Nothobranchius furzeri: one gene and its partners. The protein of the gene in region 1 interacts with the protein of each later gene in a pairwise test. Links are inferred from orthologs where the notes say so. Each region holds a gene or a part of one and is shown in the gene's direction. Other genes may lie near its edges. The genes, in order: eef1g, klhl18, get4, ilf2 and ech1.

Region 1 (5,897 bases):
ACCCAGCTCCGCCCACATGTTATATTTCAACTCATTTTCTAAAGTGCAGCATTATGTTAAATTCACTGGGTTTTACCCTATTACATTTAAATTTCATGGTTAAACAGTACATGTTAAAATCTAAGCTCAGCTCGGCAGTGACCTAAAATACATAAATATAATTTTACCTACCGATAAAAATGAAGCGGAGACTCCTTGGACGCTCTATTAGTGCAATTAATGCCACAGCAAGTCATTTTGTCCAACAATTGCACAAATAATATCCAAAAAAGAATACACAAACACAGAGACTCAAAATCCCGGAGCAGTTTCCAAGCCAGGCCGAGGCTCTACTGAGGCCTTTCCACGGAGCTAGCTCTGTGGTCACGTGGGTCTGATGCTCATTAATTATACAGAATTTTAGGCTTTTAATACACTTAAACAGAAGAGTGAGAAAAAATCACCCCCTCAGAGTTGTCATGAGTATAAACTAGATCATTTAAACAAAAAACATGTTTTGGTACCAGGCTGTAAACATGTTTATTTCTGCTGTGATAGTGGTATTTTTAACATGGGAGTTGATGAGGATTTGCTCGCTTCTGACACCAGCCCCCAGCGGATGAGGGTGGAACTGCAATTTTTGGTACCTCCGGGTTGAGACCAATTTCTGAGCCGCATTGTGGGGGCTTGTGTCCCACAGCAGCGGAGCACCAGACTCGGGGGGGGGGGGGGGGGGGGGGTGCGCTCGCGGAGTTGTCTCTATTCCGCTGAATGTGCGTGCGGGAAGTGGGGGCATGTCTGCCCAAGATGGGCAAGTGGCCCACCAGGACAGTGCCAGATAGGCCAGTCCACCCCTGCTAATGTCTCCATGATTTAGCTTCTGTCCACCCAGTTTTTTCCCCTTTGTTTCTGTCTGTTTCTACAACAACCTTTTCTCTGTACTATTTTGTTGGCCACAAAGTTACAATCCCTGTTTATAAGTTTGGTTACCTAAATTAAATGCGACAATTCACTGATAACTGTTTCCCAAGAAAGGTTTTGAGGAGGCACTGAGAGCTATGAATACGAAAACAAAATGTTGAGCGCTCTGATGCACCATTGTTCCTTTTTGTGGCCACATTTGACATTTCCCTTCTGGAAAAAGCCTAAAAAAAGCTTTTGGACATCATACCTGAAGTTTCAGCGTATCTGAAACAAAAACAAGTATAAATGTTATTGTGTGTAAGTAGCCTAGCCTGCCAGACTCGTCCTCTGTTTAATTCTGCACAGAGAGGAGTCTGGCAGGCCAGGCTAGTGTGTAAGATGTTGGGCAATGCAAAATTTGAAATGTATGTTAGTTTTAGAAGAAAGCCTAAAAAATTGTCTCTTTGTTTTTCAGTTTGCAATTGGATCTCTCATGGACGACTATCTGGGTGAGTGTTAATCTAGACCACATTTCATGGTTCTGCTTGCTGGTTTCCTCATTAGACCTGCATAAAAACATTCTTCTCAATAAAAATATGTGGTTCGTTTATAGTGCATGGAAAGATGTATTTTACTCAGTGCACACTTTTACTTTTCTGTGAATCACTGGTTAATAAACCCACCTTTTTGTTTAATTTTCAGGTCTTGTGAGCTGATTTGCCTCTGGAGCACATCAGTCTTCTTTTACAATATTTTTCTACACTTCATAGCTACTTTTTCCAGTTTTTTTTAACTGGTGTAAAAAACCTAAAAATAAACGTGTTTATGGTAATCAGTATATAGATCATCTCATGAGTGATAGTTTATTTTATGGAGAAGATGTACTTGCATATGTCCATTTATATTGTTTTTATATCTAAACTGTAATAAAGTTTGTCATTTGAATATGTTTGTGTCTTTGAGGTTTGATCCACCAGAGCAGAGCAACAGCAGCCCGCTACAGCAGACTAACGAAAGGCTAAATAATGTTTGGAAACGTGGCAAAATCTGGCGGCTTTAAACAAACTGTGAACGTGGATATTTCAGGGACGCGCACGTTTAACGACCGTAAATACGTCAGTGGCGCGCGCCCTCGTTCTTTCTTTCTCTCTTCCTGAAGATGGCGGCAGGGGTGAGTAAGATGGAGAAATTGCCAGTCATGGAGCTTTTATTCAGATTTGCTGCTACAATCCGACTGAAATCAGAGCCATCTGCACACTGACGGCGTCAGTTCCTAACTGAACTGCAGCATCCAGCTGTCTGCAGGCTGTTTTAGGGCCTATTTACTAAAATATGATGGACCGTTGAGCCTGAGTTAGCTTTTGCTATTCTTAATTCATTGAGATTGCTAACAGGGTTGTGCCACGTTATCGTTCACTCTTAAGAGATTTCCGAGTCATTCTTTTACAGTTTCAGTTTTCCCACCGATGCTAACGCAAATGTAGGCCCAAGTTCGGTCTGTTTTTATTTCAGAATGCTCTAGAACAGTTTATTACCCGAGTCGGTAGCTAGTCTGCGTGTAAATCAAGCTGAAAGCCACAAGAACAAAACCCCATTCTTCATAAGTGTGGGTAAAACCATTTATCACCAGTGAATTAAACCAGACAAATGGTGCAAACTCCTCCTTACGAAATGCTCACTCTCAGCGGAAGACTTGATTAATTAACCAGAAACATTCCTAACCAGATCCTAGTTGCTATTGTTGTCCCAGAGTGACACGTATGGTAAAGATCCCAGCTGATCCATATCTGCTCTATGCATCAGTGCAAGGCAGCTTTTTAAATTTTGGATGCTGTTAAGTTCATTTCTGTTGTTAGTTAGAAACAGCATTTTTTAACTAAACCTATCCCCCTTCGAAGAATCCATGTAGTTAATATATGTCCTCTCCTTTCAGACTTTATACACATATCCAGAGAACTGGCGGGCCTTCAAGGCCCAGATTGCAGCCCAATACAGTGGTGCTCGCCTCAAAGTAGCCAGCAGCCCTCCTGCCTTCACCTTCGGGCAGACAAACCGCACCCCAGCCTTCCTCAACAACTTCCCTTTAGGCAAGGTGAGTAAAAACTTGTTTCCCTCGTTGTATAAAAACTGGCCAACAACTCTCAGTTGTTGCTCCTTGTATACGTACGAAATGGTTTCTTTAAAATGGATTTTTCTTGGCGACATTGTTTAATTCACACGTTTGTCCAGGTTTTAGCTTCTGTGCCTTCAAACTATTCTAAACCTAAGTTCTGTCCTTGTTTACAGGTGCCAGCCTACCAGGGGGATGACGGGTTCTGTCTGTTTGAGAGTAATGCCATTGCTCACTACCGTAAGTCTTACTTTAAATTAAAAGGTTACCGTTGTATAAGTCCTTTTCACACATGAACTCTAGACATTTGGGTGAATGTGCAAATCATTTGGGATCACTTTTTAAAAGTTCTACAAAATTAATTAGGAAGTGTTCCTTGAGACTTTGGTGTTTGGATTTTTTGCTGATCCTCTTAGTGTGTCTTGAAATAAGATGGAAAGGCCAATTTCAAACATTTTTCTTTTATTCCTACAAGCTGATACCTTTTTCAGAGGGTGTAGAACCTTTAAAGAAGAGTGTACATGTGAGTAACTGGCAAATATTTTGCTCTGTAATTCCAGTGAGCAATGAGGCCCTGCGTGGTGCCACGCCTCAGGCAGCTGCTCAGGTTCTGCAGTGGGTGAGCTTTGCTGACTCTGAGATCATCCCTCCAGCCAGCGCATGGGTCTTCCCCACTCTGGGAATCATGCAGTTCAACAAGCAGGTATGCAGATCTGCAGTTCTATAATTAAACTGTGATTTAGCGTAAAGCTGGGCGGACAATGTGCGACTTTTTCACTCGTAGCACTCGGCTTCAGCTCGAACTGTACGACTTCCTCGCAGGGCAGATCTCACGAGCCATGTGCTCACACTGTACGTCTGGTAGCAACACGTCGGACCTAAAAATATGCTAAAAATAGCAGTTTTTACACGTCAGACTTTTTTGTCTTGTTTTGCCTGTTGTCCTTCGGGAGTGCTGCAGGAGGACACACAGGGATTTATGGGGGTTGGATGAGGAAAACGAAATAAATTTAATCTGTGTTTTGTGATCGGTTTAATTTGACATGAACACGACAAACACGCTTTCTTGACAATCCTTGTCATTATATGTAAAAAAAAAAAAAACATGTTGAAATAAAAACTAACATGTGTTATTAGGGAAATGGCGGGCGAGCGATGTTGATGCATGATTGCTCATGCGCCTTGAGCGGTTCTGGTACTTTTTGGGTCACAGCCGCTCGCTGCGCCGCTTCAACCCTCACGTGGAACGAGCAAAATATCAAACACTCCAGGAGTCCATGCAAGCTCATGATTGCTGATCGGTAGCTGGTCACGTGGTGTTGATCGCCTCTCGTAACCCCCTTTACACTACACGACGACCAGCGCAACACTCGCCCCGATCTTGTGGATTCTCGCACGAGTGGAAAATCTGCTCAAAAAAGTGAAAAAGTCGCAGTGTACGCCCGGCTTAAGCTGCAGGCTGGAGTTTATCATATTTGACTCCAGTGGTTTGTTTTTGCCTAAAGTTAACTGTCTCTTTGGTCCATACAGGCAACTGAGCAGGCCAAGGAGGACATCAAGAAGGTCCTCGGGTTGCTGAACCAACATCTGAACACCCGCACGTTCCTTGTAGGGGAGCGCGTCAGCCTAGCAGACATAACTGTGGCCTGCTCCATGGTCTGGCTCTACAAACAGGTTTGATGTTCACAAAGCACCCAATCACACACTCCTGATCTCTAATATTTAATTCGGGAAGAGCTGAAACCTCTCTGCTCTGTAGGTCTTGGAACCTTCCTTCCGTCAGCCATATCCCAACGTGACCCGCTGGTTTGTCACCTGTGTAAACCAGCCCCAGTTCAAGGCAGTTCTCGGAGAAGTCAAGCTGTGTGAGAAGATGGCTCAGTTTGATGGTGAGTCCTCAACAGTGAGTTCAGAATAAACTCGTAATCAAAGGATGTCAGAAGGACCTGCACTGCGAGTTGAAACTTAACGCAGATATCAGTTTGGTCTTACAGATCTGTAGTATGACTTAAGATGTTCTTATTTGTCCAGTCAAAATAAATCACTAATAGTCTACCGTCCTTGTTCATAGATGGTTGTAAATAACTGATTTAAGAGTAGATAACTGTTCTTCTGACTAGCTAAGAAGTTTGCTGAGATGCAGCCAAAGAAAGAGGCCCCCGCCAAGAAGGAAAAGGCAGCGAAGGAGGCAGCCAAACCCCAGGAGAAGAAAGAAAAGAAAAAGGAGGAGAAGAAGCCTGATCCTGAGGAGGAGATGGATGACTGTGATGCTGTTTTGGCTGCAGAGCCCAAAGCAAAGGATCCCTTTGCACATCTGCCAAAGAGGTAAAGATTTGTAGTGAGCAGCGCCATCAGAAGTTCTAGTTTTACATATGGGTGGTGTATTACAGAAATGTGCTTAGTTTAATTGGATGCATATATTAATCTGAAAATGTCTATGGAATCTAGTGCATTTTGGGTATTTGATGTGTTATTGAGTCTTTGATTCATAGACTGACAGTTTTAAAACAAAGTAGTTAATTTCAGGTGATGAATGTCCCCTGTCTTTGGGCAAGGCGGTGTCCATTCATGACACAAAGTCTTAATCTGACAGGGGAAGAGAATGAGGGCCATATTCATCCCAGTCATCTCTGTTTTAGTGAGAATAAAGGCTGGTTCATAGTGAGCCCACATTTCTCCTTGATCTCAAGAGCAGCTCGACTTATGGAGGAGCTGAAAATAAATTCAGAAGATGGTGAAAAGGAGATCTTTAGAAACGCTAATGATGGAAAGGAAACTAAAACCTAAACACATTAATCCTCTCCAACAGCACATTTGTGACCTGTTATATATACATATTTTTCTGTAGCTCATTTGTCATGGACGAGTTCAAAAGAAAATATTCCAACGAGGACACCTTGACAGT
Region 2 (5,988 bases), on another chromosome or scaffold:
CTAAAACGTTTGAAATGAGTATGAATGTTTTTATGAAGCAAAGAGCAAGTAGCTAAGAGGTCCGAGCGAACAAGAATGGGGTTCACCCGACGGCCTGCTTCGGCTGTGTCCATGTTGTCATTTACATCTTTCAACGGAGAACCAAAAATGCTCTTTTGGGTCAATTTCGACCGAAAATCTTTGTTCCATCGATGCTAAATAAAAGTGATATTTACAAACATACCGCTGCAGTAACATCTATGGTACTTCTGTAGTACCAGCAGCAGTAACGTCTATAGTACCACTTTAGTACTACCGCTGAAGCGTTTCTGGCTGTAACTTCCTGTTTGGTGGTGTGTTCAGGAGGCAGTTGGAGCATCTGTACTTGGAGCTCTTGCAGGACCAGCACTCCTCTCTCAGCAGCTTGGACTTCCTCAGGCCGTCATGGCCGCCCAGGCCCCAGGTGTCATAACAGGTATACATAGCTTTTTAGCTCTGCCCCTATCTTGTTGCCTCCACCTACCTAATCCACTGCTCTTTTTTTGATTTCAGGTGTTACCCCCATTCGTCCAAGTCTACCCCATGTGGGGCTGGTGAACCCAGTTCTGGCAACTCCCCCATATGCAAAGACATCAGTCAGTTCTGAGCAGAAAAAGACAGAGGAGGAGCGTGAGGAGGAGGTGCAGCAAGATGAAGCCATGGAGCCCCTGAGTGAGCAGGAGCATGTGAGCATTAGTGGCAACAGCGCCCGACACATGGTGATGAGGAAACTGCTGCGGAAGCAGGAGGTGGGCGGCGCCTGGACCAGAATCAGCCTCCTGCTGTTTAGTCTAATTTTGCTGTTAAACGTCAGCTGCATCATTGGTCCCTGACCTTTGAACCTGTTGTCCTTTCCAGTCCATTGTCATGGTTCTGAGGAACATGGTCGGGCCAGAAGATATCGACGATGACTTGGAGGGGGAGGTGATGGAGGAGTGTGGAAAGTTTGGGCAGGTGAAGCGAGTCATCATCTACCAGGAGCGCCAGGGTGAGGAGGAGGATGCTGAAATCGTGGTGAAGATCTTTGTTGAATTCTCTGAGGTGGCAGAGATGAACCGAGCCATCCAGGCACTCAACAACCGCTGGTTCGGAGGACGCAAGGTGGTGGCGGAGGTCTACGATCAGGAGCGCTTCGACAGCAGTGACCTGTCAGCGTAGAGCCACCATGAACTTTCACCTTAACGTAGTGGCCTCTTTCTTACTGGGTTGGTTTTTATTGGTCTTGTTTCCATGGAAACACCTTCTTCAGGTTGTCTTTCACGTTTTACCATCACTTCTGCCCTGCTCATCATTCTTCTCACAGCACTGGCCCCTGACACCTCCTGAACCGTCACATGACTTTCTGCTGAACTCACCAGGTCCACCCAGAAGCTGGGTCCAAACAGAACATGGTGGTTTCATGTCACAGCTGATCCAGATGGGACGTCCTCCTGGAGCCCAGGACCAGGTCTGGAGCTAATTCAGGTCTGACTTGTGTAAAATGGTGAGCAGGATGCAGAAGGTTTGAGCGGGTCCACCCTAACCACAGGAACGTTCCTAACCACTCGGCAGTCAAGCAGGATTTCTTTCTGGCAGCAAATTCAAAGCAGAACCCAAACCAGAACTAGAAATAAGTGGATCATCAGGACAGGTGCATTCTGGTGCGGCTTGGCTGTTTCAGGTGAAATGTAAATAAAGATTTTTCAGCTGTTTTTACTCATGGGATGCTGCTGCAGATTGTTTTGAAACATTTTCTAATAAAATGACCCAAGGACCCGCTGATCCGACCCAAGACCATTTGTTGGTTGTGGAGTTCTGATGTCCCAATAGGGTTTGGGTTATTTGATTCAGAACGCTCCTGATCCGGGGACAGCTACAGAGTTCCAGCAGACTGGTTCCCTCAACCGTTTAGATCCATACGCAGTGTTCCTCTGATTCTCAGTGGTCCTGTTTCCATGGAAACTTTCTTCATGTTTGAGAGTTAACTCGTCATTCCAGCAATTGATTGACACGTTTCTGAGCTAATGGGAAGTTCGTGATTTCCTGGGAAACCTTCAGTTCCAGCTTCAGTTTCTGACCTGATCCAAGTCAGACTTCAGGTTCTGGTCTGATTGGGTTTTCCCAGTTCACCAACCCAGAACAGAACCAGTCCAAACCCCGGCCAAAGCTGGTCTGGTAAAGTCATCTGTTTCAAGAATAAATGTTTTAAATGGCTTTAAATTGCAGTTCCAAATCAGGTTCTGTAAAACATTTAAATCCGCTTGGATCAGAACGTTAGACACTTCCGGTCGGACGTTCATATCAGTTTGAAATCAACTTTATTTTGGAGATCACTACAGAAGCGGAAGTTGTTTTATTGTGAAGGGTTGAGTTCCTGCCCACGATGGGAGACGGATTTTGCGAAGAGCTCGAAGATTTGGTTCATTTCTCCGTGCACGACCTGCCCGCGCGAGGTTATGTCGTCATGGAGGAGATCCGACGTCAGGGAAAGCTTTGTGACGTCACGATTAAGGTAAACACTGACGGCGTGGACTCGGTCCGCGACCCAACAGCTTGCTAACAAGTTGCTAACAGGCTAACATCGGTGGTATGACGTTAAATGCGTGACCTGTGACCGGCCGGAAGACGCTCATATGCGAATGTTTTAGACCGATATTAATACTTAGGGGTTATGAAGGTGAAAGGTCAATTTGTGGTCGGCAGCACGCTCAGACAACACCTACTGTTATGATCAATTATCTGCAGCACAGGTGGACTGAAACCGGAAGTGTTAATTTGACCCAACTCGTTAAACGATAAGTGACTTTCAGTCGCAGCGCCTTGAGTCAGCGGACTCTAAAGCGCTTTGCCAGTGAAGGTTCTGGTGGTCCAGCTGGAGAAGAACCCACAAGTCCTCAGGAGGCTCAGTATTGTTTATGGACCCACCAGAACCTCCTAGCAGGGGTTTTCTAAAATAAACAACAGAATCCTGATTTCTTTTGTCTGAATTATTATATTTATATGTCGATGATTATCACTAACATTTCAGACCCTTATCAGTTTTAAACGCTGAACTTAACCAGCTTGTAAAATGGTAAATGGCCTGTATTTGATATAGCACCTTCTAGAGTCCTGGAACCCCCCAAGGCACTTTACAACACAATCAGTCATTAACCCATTCACACACTGGTGGGGATGAGCTACAATGTAGCCACAGCTGCCCTGGGGCGCACTGACAGAGGCGAGGCTGCCGAGCACTGGTGCCACCGGTTCCTCCGACCACCACCAGCAGGCAACTGGGTTAAGTGTTTTGCCCAAGGACACAGCGACAGACTGAGCGGGGCTCGAACCTGCAACCCTCCGATTACGGGGCGAGCACTTAACTCCTGTTCCACCGTCGCCCATGTATGCCAATGGTGCAGTACACATGTGTAATCATTAGTGTGGCAGTCTATCAGTGCCTCTCTCGGTCCGCCAGGCCACGCCTCTTTCAGAAGCGTTTTCCGAACAGGAAGTGTGGATGAAATACGTCTCCACCCATGCCTGGACAAAATATGAAAGTAACCAACTATCAAAGCTGCTACTACAAATTAAACATTTTCTCGTGTCTCTTAACCTTCAAACATAGCATAGCTGTTAATTAATTATGGAGATCAAAAAGTGTGGTTCTCTCGCATTTGTTTAAAAATCTCCACCAATAACGTATTTCACACCGAAACCAACCACTGGACCATCCGGATGTTGGCCTCACCGAACCGCCACCCTTCCCTGGGTCCTCCACTCATCACAAACTCACGTCTTTAGCACCAGAACACCACTGGTGTGAGAGGTTCTCCGCTTAAGCACCAGCCAGCGAGGAGTCCCACCGTCATATCAATCTCTCTCTCTCTCTCTCTCTCTCTCTCTCTCTCTCTCTCTCTCTCTCTCTCTCTCTCTCTCTCCATTTTGTTCCCTGTTCTCTCACTGATACTGCTGTGTGGTCCTCATACACTCAGTCCTCTGCTGCCAGAATGTATGAGGACCTCACACTCAAACACTGAGCAGCTGTCTGCCGCCACGCTGGAGCGGCTGCTATGATTCTGCCACCCAGCTCTGGCCTGGAGGTAACTGTGGGTGTCCTCTCTCTGCAGGTCGGCGATCATAAGTTCAGCGCTCACCGGATTGTCCTGGCTGCCTCCATCCCGTACTTCCATGCCATGTTCACCAATGACATGGTGGAGTGCAAACAGGATGAGATCCTGATGCAAGGCATGGATCCCAGGTAACCATACTAACACATTCCATTGGGGCGACGATCGCCCCGTAATCTGAAGGTTGCTGGTTCAAGCCTCGCTCAGTTGTCGCCATCATTGTGTTCTTGGGCAAGACACTTAACCCGCCTTGCCTGCTGGTGGTGGTCAGCAGGCAAGGCGGGTTGTCGCTCATCCACACCAGAATGTGAATGGGTGTATCAATGGGTGAATGACTGACCTTGTTGTGAAGTGCCTTGGGGGTTCCAGGACTCTAGAATGCACTGTATTAAATACAGACCATTTACCATGTCAAAGAGAGTAAAATGTTATTATCAAGAGAGAGAGAATGTTTAAGTGATTAGCAGCAGTGTGCTAGCCGATGGCCCCCTCCATGAGGCCACCACAGCTCAGCAAAACATCATTGTAGCTTCTTCTGGGGGGGGAAACACTTAGAGAAAAAATAAAGTTAACAGCTGAAATTGCAGGAAATAATACAGTTAAAGAGCAGATTGTAGAAGAAAGCAGTAGAGCGTGGAAAGTGGTCAGTGTATCCTCCAGCAGTCTAAGCCTATAGCAGCATAACTACAGAGATAACTCTGGATAACCTAGCCTTTTAGATGGAGGCATAATGGAGGCAGGGCAAGGGAGAGTCGTCTTTACCGACTGTACACTCCACCTCCCTCTACTCCCCCACTTGTCCAGATCTGGGCTGACATCAGATTTTAACCATAGGCCCTATCAAATAAAAATGTTTTAAGCCTAGTCTATTTTTAGACATACTGGGAACCACCAGTAGACCTGCAGTCTGAGAGCGAAGTGTTTAGTTAGGAACGTATGGAACAATCAGATCACTGATGTATGATGGAGCTTGATTATTGAGAGCTTTATATGTGAGAAGGAGGATCTTAAAATCTATTCTGAATTTAACAGGTAGCCAATGTAGGGAAGCTAAGACAGGAGAGATATGATCTCTCTTTTAATTCTCATCAGAACTCTAGCTGCAGCATTTTGGACAAGCTGAAGACTTTTAACTACATTCTGTGGACTTCCTGAGAGTAATGGATTACAGTAATCCAGTCTTGATGTAATAATGCATGAACTAGTTTTTCAGCATCACTCCTGGAAAGTATGCTTCTTACTGGGGCCGTGAGATCTGACAATATAAGATCGTTAAGGATTATAAAGTGATGAAAATCTACCAAAGCTTGGAGATCGTTGAACTGTCTATTTACGTTCTATCACTAGAGCTGAGGAAAATAATCAAATAATCGATTCATCGGGATGTGGACATAAACGATTCTGCATCGTAGAAGAGTACGCCATAATCGATTAGAGTGGATTGTAGTTTTGTTTTTAACAGTGCCACCAGTGCAGTATCCAAATCTGTCAGAGTGAGTCTCCTCCACATTTACCAAGTGGTTCCGCCTTAATGTGGTACTGCAGGGCTGAGCGCTAGAGTTGTAACCTGAGACCGAACCGAATCAGCCCGACCGGTTCTGTTGGATTTGGGCCGTGAATGAAGTTAATTGAGCGGGTTGTCACATCGCAAGCTCCGCTCGCTCGCACAGCAACTGAGAGAGAGAGAGAGAGAGAGAGAGAGAGAGAGAGAGAGAGAGAGAGAGAGAGAGAGAGAGAGAGAGAGAGAGAGAGAGAGAGAGAGAGAGAGAGAGAGAGAGAGAGAGAGAGAGAGAGAGAGAGAGAGAGAGAGAGAGAGAGAGAGAGAGAGAGAGAGAGAGAGAGAGAGAGAGAGAGAGAGAGAGAGGGAGGGGGCAGGCAGGCA
Region 3 (6,080 bases), on another chromosome or scaffold:
CCTTAAGATACCCAGGACGAACCTCATCCGCCCCCGGGGCTCCGCCGCTGTGTAGTTGTTTGACTACCTCAGCAACTTCTGCCCCCGAGATCGGACAGTCCATCCCCAGGCCTCCCAGCTCTGGTTCCTCCTCGAAATGCGCATTGGTGGGATTGAGGAGCTCCTCAAAGTATTCCTTCCACCGTCCGACCGAAAGAATGAGATTGCGAAATCAAGCGGCCGAAATGAGTTTTCTCCGCAGGCTGACTTGGCTCTGCCTTGGAGATAGGGTGAGAAGCACAGTCATCTGGGAGGGGCTCGGAGTAGACCCGCTGCTCCTCCGTGTTGAAAGGAGCCAGTTGAGGTGGCTAGGGCATCTGGTTAAGATGCCTCTTGGACGCCTTCCTGATGAGGTTTCCCGGGCACCTCCAACTGGGAGGAGACCCAAGGGAAGACCCAGGACACACTGAAGAGACCATGGCCCAATCCCAATACTCGCACTGGCACCCTTTATTTGCTCGTTCCTGGCCAGGGGTGCGAGTGCGAAGGGTGTCTCGATTCTCAAGTGCGGAAGTTGACCACGCCCCCATTGCACCCTTAATCTGCACTTCATCCAAGTTTGCAGCGATGCGGACCTCGGGCAAGGGTATTACCCACAAGTCATTGCTGCGGGAGAAAAGGCTCAAGTTCCTTTTCTGAAAACATGTATTTTCTAATAAAATTAGTTCGTTTTAGGACTTTAGAACTTAAGCAACAATGAAGTTAAATTTATTTCAAATAATTGCTTTGTTATTTGTTTGAAAGTTGTTAATAAAGGTTTTTGAAAAAAGTTTCACAGCTACCGGCACAAGGCATGCGTCGCAATCGATGACGCAATGCTCCCTGTCTCATTTCGGCAATTATTTGCACACTTGTGTACTACGCACTCGAACCCTACTGAGCACTTTCTCCAAGTGCACTTTGCTGAAGACCGCAGGGCGCAGTGTGAGTATTGAGATTGGGCCCTCGTTTCTCGGCTAACCAGGGAACGTCTTGGGATTCCCCCGGAAGAGCTGGTCCAAGTAGCTGGGGAGAGGGAAGTCTGGGCGTCTCGGCTTAGGCTGTTGCCCCCGCGACCCGACTCCGGATAAGCAGCTGAAAATGGATGGATGGATGCTTCACTTTTAAACCAGTCAAGTGATTTCCCCCTGATGTCATGCTGGTTTAATCATGGTTAATTATGTCAAACCTTCATGATGACAGCTGTTTTTTCTCTGCTGTTTCTTCTGGACAGAGTGTGGCAACTCTCAATATTCCCAAAGTCCAACTCAGTTCCCTTGGTCTGTAAAAAAAATCAGCCATCTGTTGCTTTATGGAGCTGACATCCAGGTCATGGGACTCTTCCCCGTTCACGGCGTATGATCTGAGTTTGATGCTGAATCCGGTGATAATGAGATCATTGACCTTGGTGTCAACCAGGAAAGCAGTCTTCTAATCCTTCTCCTAGTTCTGGATACCTCCTCTACCTACATGCACCAAGATGCCTTTCTGCTGCATTCGGACAAAAGAAACCTCTTCCGAGAGGAAATCAAGCAACGTATCTCGTATCAATCAAACCAAATCCAAGCTTTATTTATAAAGCGCCTTTCGTGACCCTGTCGCGAAGCCCAAGGTGCTGAACACGGTACATGAGAAAAACAGGTAAAAACATTAAAGTAGAAAACAAATGGGTAAAACAAGAGATAAAGAGACCAATGAAAGCAGGGAATTAAAATTAACATAAATGAAGGCCTAACTCAAACATATTCAGGGAACGCGAAGCGGAGGAGGTGGGTTTTTAGGCGACTCTTAAAGGCTGGCAGAGATGGGGATAGCCTGACTGAGGGTGGCAACTGGCTCCAGAGTGACGGGGCTATGACTGAGAAAGCCCGGTCCCCACGAGTACGACACCTAGAACGAGGGACAGCGAGCAGGCCTTGGTCAGAGGAGCGCAGTGTGCGTGATGGGGAATGTCTGTTCAGGAGCGTGGCCAGATAGGGGGGAGCACTACCCTGGAAGAAATTGTAAACAAAGACGAGGAGTTTAAAGTGTGAACGATAACAGACCGGAAGCCAGTGCAGGAAGGGCAAAACCGGATTGATGTGGTCCCGTTTCCTGGTCCCAGTCAGTAACCTGGCTGCGCTGTTCTGCACAACCTGTAGGCGGCGCAGTGATGATTGACCCAGTTCATCCAGGTGTGCTGTTTTGTGAAGAGTCAGTCCAATTTAAAAAAAAAGTAATACGAAGAACAAACATTTTTTTTAATATAGTGCCTCTCAGTTTAGTGCCTCTCTACAAGAACAAGGCTAAGTCGTCAGAGTCATCGATGTTATAGTTGCTCCGTATGCCCCGTCCCCGCCCCTTGCTACGAGCCGCAGCCAGGACCTTCTCGCTAGTCGCTGCTGCTGCTAAAGGCATCGCTATGGCGGAGCCCGAGTCCCTGAGGTGCTCCAGTGCTAGAAACCGAGGAGGCGTTCAGAGGGTCGAAGGGAAGCTTCGAGCAAGCGTAGAAAAGGGAGATTACTATGAAGCCCACCAAATGTATAGAACTTTATTTTTCAGGTGAGACTTCACAATATGTTCGTTCTAATGTGCTTTTGTAGTTACGGTCAGGCCGGCCTGTTCCAGATCATTCCGCTGTCAAACCTTTGACTGGTGCTTGTACGTGATTGGTTGTATTCGCTCTGTGTCCCGCCTTCCCTTGATGGTTCTTGTGTTTGATTGGACAGTGATCCTTTCTATCTTTAGAAGAACAATTGCTATTGGCTTACCGTAATGATACCGCTAGTACCGAGCTGATGATAGCAAATTTTTTGTTAGCAGAGTGAGTAAAATGTGACAACGATAACTTATTTTTGGCTGTATTAATCATGAAATGTATACTGAAAACAAACTGAAAATAGCGACCAACTGTTTTCGTTGGTTTACAATGCAGTTATGTGAACGAGTACATTCATGTTCATTTGCGTTAGCATTTCGCTAGGTGGGAAGCAGCCTTCTGCTATCTCCTCGCAGTAAAATACGAAATAACGACGTGTTTCTAAACAGTTTGTTTTATTTTGAGCTATACCAGACTGATTTGATGCATTTCACTTCTATATCATATTCCATAAACTATGTCATATCCCACCCTACTATGGTAGAATACTAGTTTTGTGGTCTGACTTAACTGCTTACTCCCTCTTGAAAAACGTACTAAGCTGTCGAGAAAGCTCCCAGTTTAAAGCCAATTTCCCTCAAATGTATGTTCTTTCAGTTAATTCCGTCCGTTTCTTGATTGTCACAATCCTATCGTTTACTTTATCAGATGTATATGGTCATTTGGCCTTAGGGAGATTTAGGAGATTGTCTTTAAGTGCACGACTCCGTTCCCCTTTGCCTTCCATCAGGTATATGTCACAAGGAAAACATGCAGAGGCGAGGGAGCTGATGTACAACGGTGCTTTGCTGTTCTTCAGCTACAACCAGGTACAGACCACACCCACGTTTTTGACTAGAACATCCGCAGATTTCATGTTTAAAATTGCATTTCATTAGAAATTAGCATGTACACAACAGCTGTCAGGTTTACAGTTTTGATCTTTGCCTGCTGAATTAACCATAACTTTAACTGTACAGCCTGACTTGTGGCTTGGGTTAAGTTTACCGATTACAGTACGTTCTGTGACAATAATGCTGCCCCAAACATGAGTTCATTGTGGTTTACTTTACAGCAAAACAGCGCAGCAGATCTTTCCATGCTGGTGTTGGAGGTTTTGGAGAAGTCTGATACTAAAGTTGAGGATGAAATGTTAGGTGGGTTTCGAGCTTTCATTGTGTCTAAAAATAACTCTTACTGAGTCTTTTGTGTTGATTTTGATCTGCTTTCTTTTCATTATGTGACAATAGAGCTGTACAATTTATCACATTTTTATTTGAACTTCGATTTAAGAAATCACTAAAATAATGAAACCAACAACAAAAAGGTTAAATTGTTTTGCCAAGACAAGCTTGGTCTTGTATCGTTATGTGATCCAATTAACATACACCTGCCTCCTCTGAAAACTCACCCATACTTCACACTGGAAGCATCAGTGGCACGGACTGTCGCTGCTTCAAATGAGAAGACATTAAAATCTATGGGGGGGTTTCAAACCAGCCACTATGCGGAAATTTTCAAGCGCGTCCCAGAAGCAGCTGGCCATGCCACTAAAGATAGGATGGGTTCTATTTTTGCAGCAAGCCGCATCTGGGACACAACAATTTACACAGTTAGCATAGGGCTAGACAGGAAGTCGCACACGGTTTCAATGTAAAACCCCTGGTAATTCTCAAAATAAGACTACTGCAGCAATGCGATTTCATATCTATGTAGATTACATCAAAAGAAGTTACCTAATGGTTTGTTTACTCCCTGCATTGTTCCAGAAGTGCAATAGTGTGTTTTTTATGGCTTTAATCCTGCAAGTGGAGAGGAACAGCCTCATATGGCAGCAGCAGCTCAGGAGGTAGAGCGACTTGTCTGGTAATCAGACAGTTGCAGGTTCGATCCTGGCTCTGGACAGAGAATTCTGCTGTTGTGTCCTTGGGCTAGACACTTAACTCACCTTGCCTGCTGGTGGGATTCAGAGAGACCGGTGGTACCTGTGCTCATCAGCCTGACGCCTCTGTCAGCAGTGTTTCCATAGTTACCTTGAAATAGTAATCTGATTTCTGACTACTGATTACTCCTTCCAAAAGTAACGTAGTTACTTTACTGATTCATTCATTTAAAAAGTAACTGCCGTATTTTCCGCACCATAAGGCTCACCTGATTATACGGCGCACAGCCAATCAGCGTCCTAGTTAAAGGTTTGGTCCGCACATTAGGCTCACTGGATCAAAACACGCACCCAGCAAAGCAAACAAGCGTCCCGGTCGGCACAATTAAGGCAAATTGGGCAATTAGATCAAAGTCAAACGTTACTCCACTCATTATCTATACTAAAAAATAAATTTCTCATTATTAAAGTAACATAAATGGCCCAGTTTAATGCACGGGTGCTTTTAGCAGCAAGAATGAAGATTTAAACTCTGGTAACGGCATGACTGACTGACTGACTGACCTGCAGCAGCTGGTCTTCCAACTTTCTCCACTTGCAGACCATCGACTCGTTAATCTTGTATTCTCTCGCTGCTGCTCTGTTTCCATGCTCAACGGCGTGAGCGATGGCTTTGAGCTTGAACTCTGCCTCGTAAGTGTGTCTCTTCGCTGGTGCCATGGCTGGTTACCGGTATAGCTGTGTGGAGCAGTGCCACACCTTTTATTAGGTGAGGGTGATGAGGACGGCGCTGGGGGGTACCGTGCTGGGCCAGAGTTACCTTAATACATGTATAAAAGGCGCACTGCCGGTTCAGGGGAAGATCAAAGGTTTTTAATAGCGCCTTAAGTTAGATTACGAGTTACTTTATTAGTTACTTTCAGCATCTATCAAAAACACTCTCCACTGCCTCAACATAAAAACTACAACAGGTTTTGCCAACACTCACTTTATTGCAAATGTTTTTTAACAGTAATGTCAACAACGTATCTTCTTACATTTTAAGTTGAACTTAAAACCTATTGCCTGACGTAATGCTTGTTTGTATAAAATAAAATAAAAACAGTTTTTCTTGACCTCACTTAAAATAAATAGTATTCATAAAAAATAAAACACACAGAGCCAGCACAGAGTGTACAACGAACCTTAATATTTTCTTCTTTAGCTGATACAAACTCAAAATAGTGACTATATTTCCAGCTAGAAAGCGTACCTCTCTCTCCTCCCACCATTGTTGATGACGCTGTAGTTCAGGGGTCGGCAACCTTTTCCCATCAAAGAGCCATTATTACTCATTTCCCACAGTAAAGAAAACACTGGGAGCCGCAGCAGCCGGGGCGTTGTGGGCGTGGCCTGCCCTCAGACAGCAGAGAGCTGCTTTAACCAATCACAACAGGTGACAGCAACCAATGCCAGTCGCTCATGTACCTTAAAGTTATCTTTCAACAGAAGATAATAAATAAAACAGTTTGTATAAAATTGACCCAGAACTTGTAGCCCGTCTGTGTCGACAGTACTTAGATA
Region 4 (6,034 bases), on another chromosome or scaffold:
GTACAATGTGAAAAAAGAAAACCATCTCCCCATTGATGTTTCCAGAAAGTTTCATCATCACTACTAGAATGTGTCTCTTGCAAAAACAAAATGTTTGCCTTAATTTCTTTGCAAAATAAAGAAATGGCCTTGCGTTTCACTTTGTTTTTTAAGCCTCGAACATTTAAAGAGCTTATTTGAACAGACAATTAAAGGTAAAAAAAAAAGATCAAGAAGACACAACGCAAGAACAAATTAAACTTTTCCCTTCTACTCTTATTCTCTAGAAAAATGAACTGTTTCTAGCAGGAGTAAGCATGAAGTCCTACTTATCTTGTAAATACAGTATTCAGATTGTCATTGTGACCCCCCCCCCTTTTTTTTTATTAGGAACCAGAACTTTTTATCTACCTCCAGATTTACCTATGCCATTCCACTTTTATTATTTCTGCATGCATATTATGGGTCAATTCTTTTGCCATCTGTTATAGCAAACCCGTCTTTCAGGAATGCTCTTCTGCCGTTGTTTTGAGCCTCCAGCTCCTTGGGCCACAGCTTGATCCGAGCTTCCTTATCCTCTTTGGAGAAGTCCTCTTTAACGTTTATGTGCAGTTCTTTGCAAACCCTGGCCTCCCTGGATTTCCTCCACACTTCATCCCTTGCTGCCCTCATGCTAAACTGAACGATGATCGGTCTTGGCAGCTTGTTGTTTGCAGCGTCGCCCTTCTTCCCGATTCGATGTACTGTATCCACCATGAGCTGCAGCTTTTCCACTGACACAGGAATCACTCTCGTCAGGATGCCAATCACTCTATCCCGTGTATTTTCACCCTCTTTTTCTGCCAGGCCAAGTAGTCTGAGGTCCCATCTTCTTCGGTATCTTGAGTTTTCCAGACATCTTTCCTTCAGTTCTTTGTTTTCCTTCGTTAAAGCCTCCATCCTTGTTTTGAGCTTGTCTGTTTCCTTTTTGTTTTCTTCAGTTGCCATTTGCCTCTATCCTAAGGTCAAAAGCTTTCAGATTTTTGTCTAGCAGATCAAATCTTTCTGGAAAGGCCAGCAGGGCTTCATAGATGTTTTCATTGCATATCTGTTTGCCAGTAGCTTTATTTTTCAGGTTTTTTTTTTTGATTGGGGCTTTTTATTGGAGTGTGATCACCAGTGGGTCTTGCTGCTATCTGTTGATGCTCCATCTCCTCAATGTCTTCGTCCGCACATGCTTCCTTCATTGCCGCAAGGTTGTAGTCATGGTCGGAAAGACTACCTATTAGCGCCGCCATGTTAGTCATTTGATTTTTTGTGTTTGCTACTTTATCTGTCCAATAACTCTTCAAAAACATGTTCCACAGGTACCGATTTCCTTTCAATTTCGTTCTGAATAACTGTTTATCAGAGAATTACTTCTCAGAACATTTAAAACCCACCGTTTTATCAGACCTGCCAAGTTTCCAGCACCTGCTCACTCTGCCATCTTGAATTCCCCCTCATGCACCACTAAACAACAGTGCTAGAGGAGAGCAGCTGTCCGAAGTAAGATGGCTGCCGCGTACGGACGTCAGGGTCCATTGACGAACAGCGCAGGTGAGAATCAGTGCATCTTTTGTATGACAGAATGTGAAACTATTGAGCACCTTTTTCTTCTCGTGTTCAGTAACACTTGGTTTTGAGGAGGATGTTTATCGATTGGTAAATATTGAGAGAAATGATGTAATCTAAAGTACTGATATACATGGATGCTCTTCCAAAAAAGATATCCAAAATGGTGAACATTACCAAATACATAAGACTAAATGGAAAAACAGCAAGCCTAACATTAATCATTTTAAAAATTAAATAAAACAATTTACAACATCTCAAAGAGTATTTTCAGAAAATAACCAATCTATAACTGAGTTGTGCGAAACAATGTCTGAGTTTCTTGTTCTTTAAATTACAGTCCAATGAATCAAACATGTTTGAACTATAATGCTGAAATATCAACCTCTGAACGTTTTTTGTTTGTTGTTGATGTTATTTTATTTTTTGTTTTAATTATTATTATTTTGCATCATAATTTATTTTATGGTAGTGCCATGCGGTAAATGTTGCAAGTTCTAAATGTCATTTTTATTTTCCTCAAGTGCGGTCATTTGTATTTGTTATATTCTTCAGTACGTTGAATGTAGGTTACATTGTAAACTGAATGTATGTGAAAACGAAGATTGAAATAAAGTTAAAAAAGAGACTTGACCAGAAAGACGTGAATGAATAAAGTTACGCTATGGCAGCAGCAAAAAAATATACCAATAAATAAAAAAAACAGCGCATCTAGCTATAATATGTGATATCTATGCGGTCCACACTCCATTCCAGTTGGGGGCGGTAATGTACCACGGCGTTGGTGACGTAAAACAGAAAGAAAGAAACAATTCCGCCGGAAACAGAAGTCTCTTTGTGCCACACTAGTCCCTTCCGCAGTTAGCCTCCGCTCATTCATTAAACCATATCAAACCGTTCTCCCTGTTTTCTCTCATCAAACCATCAAAACGTCGTACGCAATGAGGTAACGCTGACTAACCGGACCTGGTTGTGTTGGCTTTACGCTAACTAGCCTGTAATCAGTGTCATTAGCTGTTAGCCATTAGCTCGGTATAGCTTTCTGTTAAAGTCTCGTTCTGAACGTGGTGTTACTTATTTATTCCTCCAATAACAGTGTTACTGATAACTCTTACGTTTTATCGACAGCAAGTTAACACTGAGGTAGCGAATTAGGACTATAACACACGTGTGTTAGCTAAGATCAGCGTTTTTATTTATCCTTTAGTCTGGCAGTAGCGAGCGCACTGGACTGATCTGGGTTTTGTGTTTGTGAACAGAGGAGACCGCGGCAGGGGCCGAGGACTCCGCTTCGGAGCCCGGGGAGGCATGGTCCAGGGGTGAGTACCTTACTGATCTCTGTTCCTGTTCCATACTGGTTCTTTCAGTCAGGTCCTTGATCTGGTTGTAGAAAGTATCTGACAGTTAGTCTTAAGTTTGCTGGTTCGATTCCTGCTTCTGGATGGAACTCGGACCCATAAGCCATCAGAGTAGAAAAGTCTAAGTGAGAAAGATCTTCAGAAGTGGAAAAAGAAGCCTCTTGTGATTACACAGGACGACGGCACTCTCCCCAGAACATCTCCAGAAGGACTTCTTCAGAGCAGTTAGATCTTTCCATCCTGTCTGAAAGCAGCGTCCTGTTTCTGTCTCTTTAAACTTCATTTTTTCCCAAATGAAACAATCCATTGATTTCTGGATCCTTAAAAAGCTGCTGTAAAGTCTGGAATCATCAGCTCATGTTGTGCGTGGTCCTGGTGATGAAGCTAAGACGGATTGTTGGTTATTGTGCTGAAGCAAAAAGAACCGCTGCCTTGGTTATAACTGAAACCTCCAAATCATTGTTAAAATCTACTTTTTGGGTTTGAACATCAGCTTTCATAAGGTCCCGGTCAGACGTTCTGGTTCTGACTAGTAGGGACATTTGTGCCAGTCCACCGATTCTCCGTTCTTCTCTCTGTCCCGCTCAGGTACCGTCCTTTTGTCCCGCACATCCCATTTGACTTCTATGTGGTGAGTTCACGCATGTGACAGACAACAGAACAGCATGCAGGAATAATCAGTAACCATGGCTACAACTAGCATCTGGTAGAATCCGGTCCATTTTGTGGTTCTGAAGCAGACTGTTGTCCTTCCCCAGTGTGAGATGGCCTTCCCCAGAGTGAAACCTGCTCCTGATGAGACGGCGTTTAGCGAGTGTCTGCTGAAGAGGAACCAGGACCTGAGCCCCTCACCTGCAGAACAGGTCAGCTAGGTATTCCAGTTCAACACCTCACTGGTCTCATCGTGCTGTAGGTTACTTACCTGACGTCTTCATTTCCTTCTGCTTCTAGTCTTCCATCTTGTCTTTGGTCACAAAGATCAATAATGTCATCGACAACCTGATTGTTGCCCCTGGTAGCTTTGAAGTGGTGAGTGGTGAACATCTGACCTGTAGAGCTGCCATGTTTACTGAAACTGGTGTAAATGAGTTGGTGTCAGTAAGGCTGTAATGATCTGTGTTTGCTGTCACGTCCTAATCTGGGATTAAATGTTTCTCTTCCGTCATGACCTTCCTAGACCTCCCACAGGCTGAGCTTTATGTAGCTGAGCGGTTTTATCTTTTAGAACGCATCAAAGCCATCCCGCATGCTTACGTTATCTGTCCACAGCAAATAGAAGAAGTTCGTCAGGTGGGTTCATACAAGAAGGGAACCATGACAACTGGACACAACGTCGCTGACCTCGTTGTCATCCTCAAGATCCTCCCTACACGTGAGTCATTGTTCATTCAGACCAGCCCTGGGTCCGTCACTAGGGCCTCATCCTGCTGGAACAGCTTCAACAGATGTTCTGGTGAAACCACTGAGCACATCTGGACTCGTGTTGGTAAATACATGGCTAGTCCCATCATGCAGCCCGACCGGACCGGCTATCCAGCAGCTAAGCTGTTTAGCTTTAGCCTCTTTAAGCTTAACAGTGATGACGAAACTCGTCAGACCGTACAGGAACTCGAGAACAGAAGTGTCTGAATCCTAAATGTGTTTATGAGGCAACTTGGTGTCATTTAAACCCCGAATACCGTCGGTAGAGTGGTGATTAATACTGAGTCCAGTGTTAAACACCTGGAGCTAAAGCTGACTCTGCTCTTCATGTTTAATCTAACAGTGGAGGCAGTGGCTGCGCTCGGGAACAAGGTGGTGGAGACTCTTCGCACCCAGGACCCCGCAGAAGGTACGGGGGTGGGTCTGTGTGTGTGTGTGGGGGGGTGTATCTGCAGCTCTGGACCTTACCTAAAGGCTGAAGTTGGTCAGAGTGCCCTCAAGAAACAGAGTGAGCATCTTTAGTGAGTTAATGATGTAATAAACACTAATGGTGTGTGTGTGTGTGTGTGTGTGTGTGTGTGTGTGTGTGTGTGTGTGTGTGTGTGTGTGTGTGTGTGTGTGTGTGTGTGCACCCGCGCTTTCAGTTCTCTCCATGCTGACCAATGAGACGGGCTTTGAGATCAGCTCAGCTGATGCAACCGTTAAGATCCTCATCACCACTGTCCCGCCCAACCTACGCAAGCTGGATCCAGAGCTGCACCGTATGATACACACACACACACCCACACATGCATACACACACACACACACATGCACACACACAGACACTCGTTTTTTAAGGACTTCTCCGTTTTAAACGGTTCTTTCCACTGAACCTTTGATCTCTAATCTGTACAAGTGGTGTGAGTGTGTAAGACGGTGTTTGGGTAGCCTCTGGACCGTGTGTGTGTGGGATGACAGAATCGTTGTTGGCCATATTTCTCAGATTGTTTGGCTGCAGCAATATTATTGTAATGATGTGACTAGTAAAGTTTTAAACAGGTCATTTCAGGTCACCGTCGTTAGGCTGTGAGAGGAGTTAACGAGCTGTGGTGGACCAGAACCGATGCTAAAACGCAGCGTAGCTATTAGCTAATGCCTCATGCACCAGAAACCTGGGTGGATGAGACGGCAGCGTCTTCAGCACCGTGATGATGTCAGTGTTTCTAATGAAACCTGCATCCATGAACACTGACTCTCTGTTCCTCCAGTGGACATCAAGGTTCTGCAGAGCGCCCTCGCCGCCATCCGCCATGCCCGCTGGTTTGAAGAGAACGCCTCTCAGTCGACGTGAGCTAGTCTTCATTAGTGTGCGTCACGGATATGACCTTTCACCTGAACTCATTTCATCTTTCTGACTTTCAGAGTAAAAGTCCTGATTCGCCTTCTGAAGGACCTCAGGTTGCGCTTCCCGGGGTTTGAACCTCTGACTCCGTGGATCTTGGACCTGCTGGTGAGTCCAGGTTTCACCTGTGGCCAGAAGATCCACGGATTTGTTTATGATCAGGAACGTTTCTGTGGAGTCGTCTCTGGTGATGGTGTGCCTCTGTCCACAGGGCCACTCTGCAGTGATGAACAATCCATCCAGGCAGCCTCTGTCCCTGAACGTGGCATACAGGTCCGTCCTCTTGTCTCAGTCTTCC
Region 5 (5,922 bases), on another chromosome or scaffold:
AGCCCTTCCTCCGTGGTACCTCCTTTGACTCTTATTTCCTCCAGAAAACACTGGTCAGAACCCATTGCCCATCCTGAATGGGCAGCCAAATCAATGAGAGGCATCTCTAAAGATCAGTTAGAAAACTTTGACTGTGATCAAATCCTTAACACCTACCCTGACTCCATCTGAAATGTCTGAGATGTTGGATCAACCCCAGAGACAGAACCAGACAAAGTCCGTGTTTTACCTCTTGAACATGAATGTATTTGTTCTTTTGCATGTCTACCTCAGTCTTTAACTTTGATTTCATTGGTTCACAAACAGGTTTGGCAAACAAATAAAATCTCTTACATAAAATGTGTCTTTAAATGCCCAAAAAGTTTTTAGTTTTTCTGTTTTTGGAAATATTTGTATTAATTATTTTGTCAATTTTTATTTATGATCAGTTGTGATCAAAACTTTTCTATTTTAGTGATGTTTTATATATTGAATGAATAAAATCATTCTTAATATCCAGTGTGTTTTATTCATCTAATTACTCTAACTTTTGTTTTTGAGGGAACATGTTCCACATCTGGTTAATAACCAAACAAATTCCAAGGATTGGAGGTGGATTTTTACTAGATAGTCATTTTGAGGATTTTCTGTCATTTAATGTTTTATCTCATGTTACTAATTTATTTTTAAAATAAAAATATACTCATTTACAGGTCAATAACCACAGATGAGAAAAAATAACACTCTGGAACAGCTACTGAGACCTCATGATGGAAATATGTTGTACATGAAAAAGTCATTTTTATTTAACATTTATATGTTAGAAATATCTTTAAAAAAATCACAAATCTCTCAAAGAATATTGAATTTAAAGCTATTGTTTGGTCTGTTGAATAAATCAAACTATAGATTAAAAGCTCATTTTAAAGATTAAATTGAACTAAATTCAGTTTAAATTAAACTGTATGTGAGCCAACCCATTATATTGTTTATGTTTAAAAAATTGATCCGAAATATTATTGGACTTTGTTTGGGACAGATTTGAGCACATTATAATTAATGTAGTTTATTTCCTGTTGAGTTTTCACACCTAATTTATACTAAATTTAATGTTACTCATTTATTGAAAGCTTAATTTAAAGAGTAAATTTCTATTTATTAGTTTCTGCAATCTGCGCTTAATTACTTTCAGCAGAAGATATGTTCATGGCTTTGCACTTTTCTGATCTCTGTTGTGGGCACCAAGCAAAAATCTCTGCCCATTTGCGTACATTCTTTTAAAAACCAAGAATGTCCACATTCAGTGTTTGTATATGAAATGATCAGACATTTATAACTGGAAGCCCTCAAGCAGCCACTTTTAAAAAGTTGTGAAACAAAAAAACAATAAAAACTGCTGTCAAATTAACAAATGAAAATATCAGATTGTGCCCCAGAAGATAATGCACTTTGACTAAAAATAAATTCAAACTGGAAAGTAAAAAGAGGTAAAAAAAAAAAAAAAGGAGGAAATTAAAACCTTAGAATGATTAACTTTTTTTGTTTATAGTACAGTTTTTAAGCACATTATTGTAATGGACATTATATGTAATTACAAACCTAGGCTACTGTAAAACTAATAACAACAGAGTACATTTTATTATTATTGTCATTGTCTTTTATTAATAATAATAAGTAAAATGGATATATGGCATAGGATTCGTCCAGTTTTTCTATACGTCACAGTGACGAAAGAGAGCGTTTCTGGAGCGTTTGCGCCAACTCGGCTACCGTAGAACCAATTTAGAGAGGCTAAGCTAATCAGGAGAGCGAAATGTTAACATTTATGGCCAGTTTTTGCTTTAAACATTCCTCTTATTTCATGTAGATTTAGGTTAAAGCGGTCAAGCAGTCTTTCTGTCATTTGGAAGCTAACCAATGAAGCAGTGAAGAGTTTTGGCAAGCCAGCCAACTTGTTGGTTACTAGTTAGGGTTAGCTAGACGTCGTTAGTCTTTTGCCAGTTTGCTTTGGTTTAACCGTTCACCAAAGCTTCCCGACTGCAGCGTTCAAAGGGCGATGTTGTCAGTCAGTATCAGGTCAACTCTCCCCAGATGTAAGTAACGGATTAACCTTTTTTCTGTGTTTCTGTTTTAGTTCAGATGTTTTCTTTTGTCACATGATGTGCACGTTTGTTTGGATGTTAGTCATTAGTACTAGCTCTACTTTGTATTTAACCCTCAAATTGACCGAGATGAACAAAGCCTGGAGAGGTTTGTAGGTGAAAGGTAGCTGCTTAATCGACACGCATTCTAACGTATTTTTATATACTTTTGTTATAACTGAGGTTGTAGCATAAATATACTGAGTATCTAACCTTTTTACTGATTTGCATTGCGTTAACAAATGTCACAGCATGTCTACAATATAGACTTTTATTTCACAATTAAGTCTCTTTTTGCAGGGTTACAGCTGTAAGGTGATTGAAATTCCTTTAAAATGCTTTAAATAAAAAAATGTACATGGAATTAACAGAAATTGGTGTTTTATTATTATTATTCAGATTTACTTTGATGGAAAAGGAAATTAAACAGTCGTTTTGATCATAGCTGTAATATTCATGTATGACCAAGTGAGGTGCTGCAAAATATTGCAAACTATATGTATTTATATATAATTAAACTTTGGATATTTTTTCATAATAATAAGCATCTTAATGCTATCAGGCCCTTTACACAACAGTTCTGCAGCATTTGGTGACAAGTCACCTGATCCTGTTTTTTGCATTACAGCCCACCCTAAAGCAGGTTAGCTAGTATACATCAGTGACCTAATGTAGATAAACACAAGCGTGTTTAATTCCTTTTCAGACAGTAGGTTGTGGCTGCCTGCTCAGGCTTTGGTCAGGAACATGTCATCTTCAGATGGACCCACATCTCCATACACGACCCTGGCCATCAGTCGCCCAGTAGAGTCCCTCACACATGTCGAACTTCACCGACCTGAGAAGAGAAACGCCATGAACAAAGCTTTCTGGAGGTGAGCATTTTTATAGCAATAAATATACAAAATGTGTGTTTTTTTCCGTGACATTGGGGTACCTTTTCTTCAAGTGAAGTCATGTAATAGTTTTTATGCCAATTTTCTTGAGGAAACACACATTTTCTTAAAACTTTTAAGATGTATTTTATCTAGACACACATATGCATAAGGACACACATATTATAGATTTATTTCTAAAATATTACATATAGAAATAATAGCTTTAGAGCTTGTATACAATACAGTAAGGAGGCAGTGCAGAGTAGTTAAAATGCTATCATAAATCAGAAATCCATTTTTCTCAGAGGGCACCATCTACAGGCAGAATTGTATTGCAACTTCAAGCCCCTCCCCCTGCTTCCATGATACAGTTGAAACGACTCGATCGTTTAGTCCATGGGCTTTTCTTTACTTTTGTCTATCTTCGAGTAAATGGTTTGGATTTATATAGCGCCTTCTAGGGTCGTATAACCCCTCAAGGTGCTTTACAACACATCCGGTCATTCACCCACACACACACACACACACATTCACTCGCTGAGTAGAAGTAGGCAATCTGTTCTGTATTTTTAGTCCCTCAAAAGGCAGTTGTAGCTGCGCTCTATGATTCGTCAGGTGTTCACGCACTCTGTGATTGACATTTGTACGTAAGCAGATGTCGAACGCTATTGGCTAGTTCATTTCAAATTGTATGGGAGCCTATAGGGCAGGTGGGCTTAGCAAAAAACAAAATGTTTATGTATCTAGCAGACGCTTTTGTCCAAAGCGACTTACAAGTGATAAATAACCTCGACTATTGCCTATCGTCATTAGGGGCGATGATGGCACAGGAGTTAAGTGCTCGCCCCATAATCGGAAGGTTGCAGGTTCGAGCCCCGCTCAGTTTGTCGCTGTCGTGTCCTTGGGCAAGACACTTAACCCACCTTGCCTGCTGGTGGTGGTCAGAGGGACCGGTGGCGCCAGTGCACGGCAGCCTCGCCTCTGTCAGTGCGCCCCAGGGCAGCTGTGGCTACATTGTAGCTCATCCCCACCAGCGTGTGAATGTGTGTGTGAATGGGTGATTGACTGTGTTGTAAAGCTCCTTGGGGGGTCCCAGGACTCTAGAAGGCGCTATGTCAAATACAGGCCATTTTCCATTTACATTATATTACAGAACAGGGGAAGCCTATCCCTTTTACGGATTACTAAAAAAAAAATCATACAGAATTCCTGAAAAGGGTAAAGCTCTGGATTTCTGCTTTGAGGTCATTAATATTTGGTTTAAGCATCTAAATTTAATCTTTTATTTGGATAATTTTATTAAAATCACATCACACATCATTATGATGACTATGATTTAATGACTTTGTGATTTTGTCTGTGAGGAGTGCCACACAAATAAAATTTAATCACTTACATTAATAATAATCCAGTTTAACGGAAACTTAGCTGCAAACGCATCCATAGTTGAAGCAGCCCTGACATAGTGTTTGTGTTTTTATTTTTTAGTGAGATGGTGGACTGTTTTAATGAGATTGCAGACGACCAAGACTGCAGGGTGGTGGTCATGTCAGGAGCAGGAAGGATGTTCACAGCTGGTGTGTTTCGGGTCACAACTAATGCCAGTTTCATCAGCGGAGCTGCGCTTATTCCGTATGCTCTGTTGATGTCCAGGTCTTGACCTGATGGACATGGCCAATGATATCCTCCAGCCGAAAGGCGACGACGTGGCAAGAATCTCCTGGAACCTCAGAAAAACCATCACCAAATATCAAGAAACGTTCTCCGTCATAGAGAAGGTCAGAGCTCCTCATCACATGCATTGGACAAATAATGACGCAGGAATGTTAATGAAGTTATTCTTATCTGCTTGTAGTGTCCAAAGCCTGTTGTGGTGGCTGTTCACGGCGCCTGTATTGGAGGAGGTAGGGCACAAAAGAAATTCTCAAGTGACGTTCACCAAGAAGTATCTTTAGATAAAATACTAAAACTGAGACGAACTTGCTGAAGCCATGATTTGTGCTTCCTATAGGATTCACCTGTTGCATAAACAGATTTAAACACTGAACCACTGTTTTGTTTCTTTTTGAGTCACTAATTTTAAGATAGAAAACGCACAGTTAGCATGATTGAAATGTAAGTTTCATGAATTTGATTTTAGTAGAAGAAAATTAGTCAATGAGTTCAATATTAATGTTTATTTTATTTCAGGTGTTGACCTGATTACGGCTTGTGACATTCGTCTCTGCACCCAGGATGCCTGGTTTCAGGTTAAGGTGTGTTAAGCTGATTTTATCATTTGGTGAAATAAAAAATAAATTAAGACAGCAAGAATTACTCCTTTCCAAAGTTAATGATTTTTTAAACTAATATAAATGTGTAGAGATGTTTCCATAGCACTGGGTTTGTGTATTTTGACTGGACAGGAAGTTGATATTGGACTTGCAGCAGACGTTGGAACTCTGCAGAGACTTCCTAAAGTCATAGGCAGTCGAAGGTGAAACTTAACATTTTAACAAACTGGGGTTATGGTTCTTGTTATTTTCTGTTGAAATCCATGTTTATTGTAATTATCTCTTGCTTTTTTAGTCTGGTGAACGAGTTGGCGCTTACAGCCAGGAAGATGTTTGCAGATGAAGCCAAGAGCAGTGGACTCGTCAGGTAAAACACATTCCTGATTACCAGCAGGATCACACGTACGGGCTAAAATGGACTGCGGTTGTTAGTCAAGTCAGAGAAAATACTGTGTCATTAAGTTGGCTCCCAGTTTAAGTTAGGGTAGACTAGATCTAAAATGAGAAAAAGCTGCAGAAGTCCAACAAAACCATGGAAAGACCTTTAGGGAAATTGATCACTTCAACTGAAGATTAGAGGCAAATTCAACTCCTTAAACTTTCAAACTACAGCAAAGAAACCTTTTTTCCTCCCCTGCAGCCGCGTGTTTG

The links.
Region 2: the proteins of eef1g (region 1) and klhl18 interact in binary tests that used the Homo sapiens proteins (3 or more experiments, as listed by UniProt). The two-hybrid records come from large-scale screens. The link is inferred for Nothobranchius furzeri from reciprocal best matches to the Homo sapiens genes EEF1G and KLHL18.
Region 3: the proteins of eef1g (region 1) and get4 interact in a two-hybrid assay, tested with the Homo sapiens proteins (2 studies listed by BioGRID and IntAct, with this or other methods). The link is inferred for Nothobranchius furzeri from reciprocal best matches to the Homo sapiens genes EEF1G and GET4.
Region 4: the proteins of eef1g (region 1) and ilf2 interact in a two-hybrid assay, tested with the Homo sapiens proteins (2 studies listed by BioGRID and IntAct). The two-hybrid records come from large-scale screens. The link is inferred for Nothobranchius furzeri from reciprocal best matches to the Homo sapiens genes EEF1G and ILF2.
Region 5: the proteins of eef1g (region 1) and ech1 interact in a two-hybrid assay, tested with the Homo sapiens proteins (2 studies listed by BioGRID and IntAct). The link is inferred for Nothobranchius furzeri from reciprocal best matches to the Homo sapiens genes EEF1G and ECH1.

Annotation. Positions count from the first base shown.
Region 1 is NC_091741.1:90,858,217-90,864,113, reverse strand, and holds the start of eef1g (elongation factor 1-gamma), read left to right. Parts: upstream 1-1,952; 5' UTR 1,953-2,041; coding exon 2,042-2,053; intron 2,054-2,815; coding exon 2,816-2,974; intron 2,975-3,168; coding exon 3,169-3,232; intron 3,233-3,552; coding exon 3,553-3,695; intron 3,696-4,522; coding exon 4,523-4,666; intron 4,667-4,751; coding exon 4,752-4,881; intron 4,882-5,112; coding exon 5,113-5,317; intron 5,318-5,840; coding exon 5,841-5,897. Other genes in the region: polr2g (DNA-directed RNA polymerase II subunit RPB7), read left to right, coding at 1,358-1,391, 1,585-1,598. UniProt on the Homo sapiens protein: Probably plays a role in anchoring the complex to other cellular components.
Region 2 is NC_091751.1:33,737,370-33,743,357, forward strand, and holds the start of klhl18 (kelch-like protein 18), read left to right. Parts: upstream 1-2,012; 5' UTR 2,013-2,380; coding exon 2,381-2,509; intron 2,510-4,106; coding exon 4,107-4,237; intron 4,238-5,988. Other genes in the region: poly(U)-binding-splicing factor PUF60a, read left to right, coding at 343-454, 532-767, 877-1,176. UniProt on the Homo sapiens protein: Substrate-specific adapter of a BCR (BTB-CUL3-RBX1) E3 ubiquitin-protein ligase complex required for mitotic progression and cytokinesis.
Region 3 is NC_091756.1:28,101,708-28,107,787, forward strand, and holds the start of get4 (Golgi to ER traffic protein 4 homolog), read left to right. Parts: upstream 1-2,309; 5' UTR 2,310-2,341; coding exon 2,342-2,559; intron 2,560-2,571; exon of another isoform or gene 2,572-2,795; coding exon of another isoform or gene 2,796-2,821; intron 2,822-3,386; coding exon 3,387-3,465; intron 3,466-3,710; coding exon 3,711-3,792; intron 3,793-6,080. UniProt on the Homo sapiens protein: As part of a cytosolic protein quality control complex, the BAG6/BAT3 complex, maintains misfolded and hydrophobic patches-containing proteins in a soluble state and participates in their proper delivery to the endoplasmic reticulum or alternatively can promote their sorting to the proteasome where they undergo degradation.
Region 4 is NC_091751.1:23,257,426-23,263,459, reverse strand, and holds the start of ilf2 (interleukin enhancer-binding factor 2 homolog), read left to right. Parts: upstream 1-2,360; 5' UTR 2,361-2,513; coding exon 2,514-2,518; intron 2,519-2,831; coding exon 2,832-2,891; intron 2,892-3,518; coding exon 3,519-3,561; intron 3,562-3,688; coding exon 3,689-3,793; intron 3,794-3,881; coding exon 3,882-3,959; intron 3,960-4,199; coding exon 4,200-4,302; intron 4,303-4,695; coding exon 4,696-4,761; intron 4,762-4,996; coding exon 4,997-5,113; intron 5,114-5,602; coding exon 5,603-5,681; intron 5,682-5,756; coding exon 5,757-5,844; intron 5,845-5,947; coding exon 5,948-6,009; intron 6,010-6,034. UniProt on the Homo sapiens protein: Chromatin-interacting protein that forms a stable heterodimer with interleukin enhancer-binding factor 3/ILF3 and plays a role in several biological processes including transcription, innate immunity or cell growth.
Region 5 is NC_091753.1:47,223,344-47,229,265, reverse strand, and holds the start of ech1 (delta(3,5)-Delta(2,4)-dienoyl-CoA isomerase, mitochondrial), read left to right. Parts: upstream 1-1,802; 5' UTR 1,803-2,035; coding exon 2,036-2,072; intron 2,073-2,826; coding exon 2,827-2,995; intron 2,996-4,486; coding exon 4,487-4,575; intron 4,576-4,651; coding exon 4,652-4,776; intron 4,777-4,853; coding exon 4,854-4,902; intron 4,903-5,188; coding exon 5,189-5,253; intron 5,254-5,403; coding exon 5,404-5,474; intron 5,475-5,566; coding exon 5,567-5,638; intron 5,639-5,911; coding exon 5,912-5,922. UniProt on the Homo sapiens protein: Isomerization of 3-trans,5-cis-dienoyl-CoA to 2-trans,4-trans-dienoyl-CoA.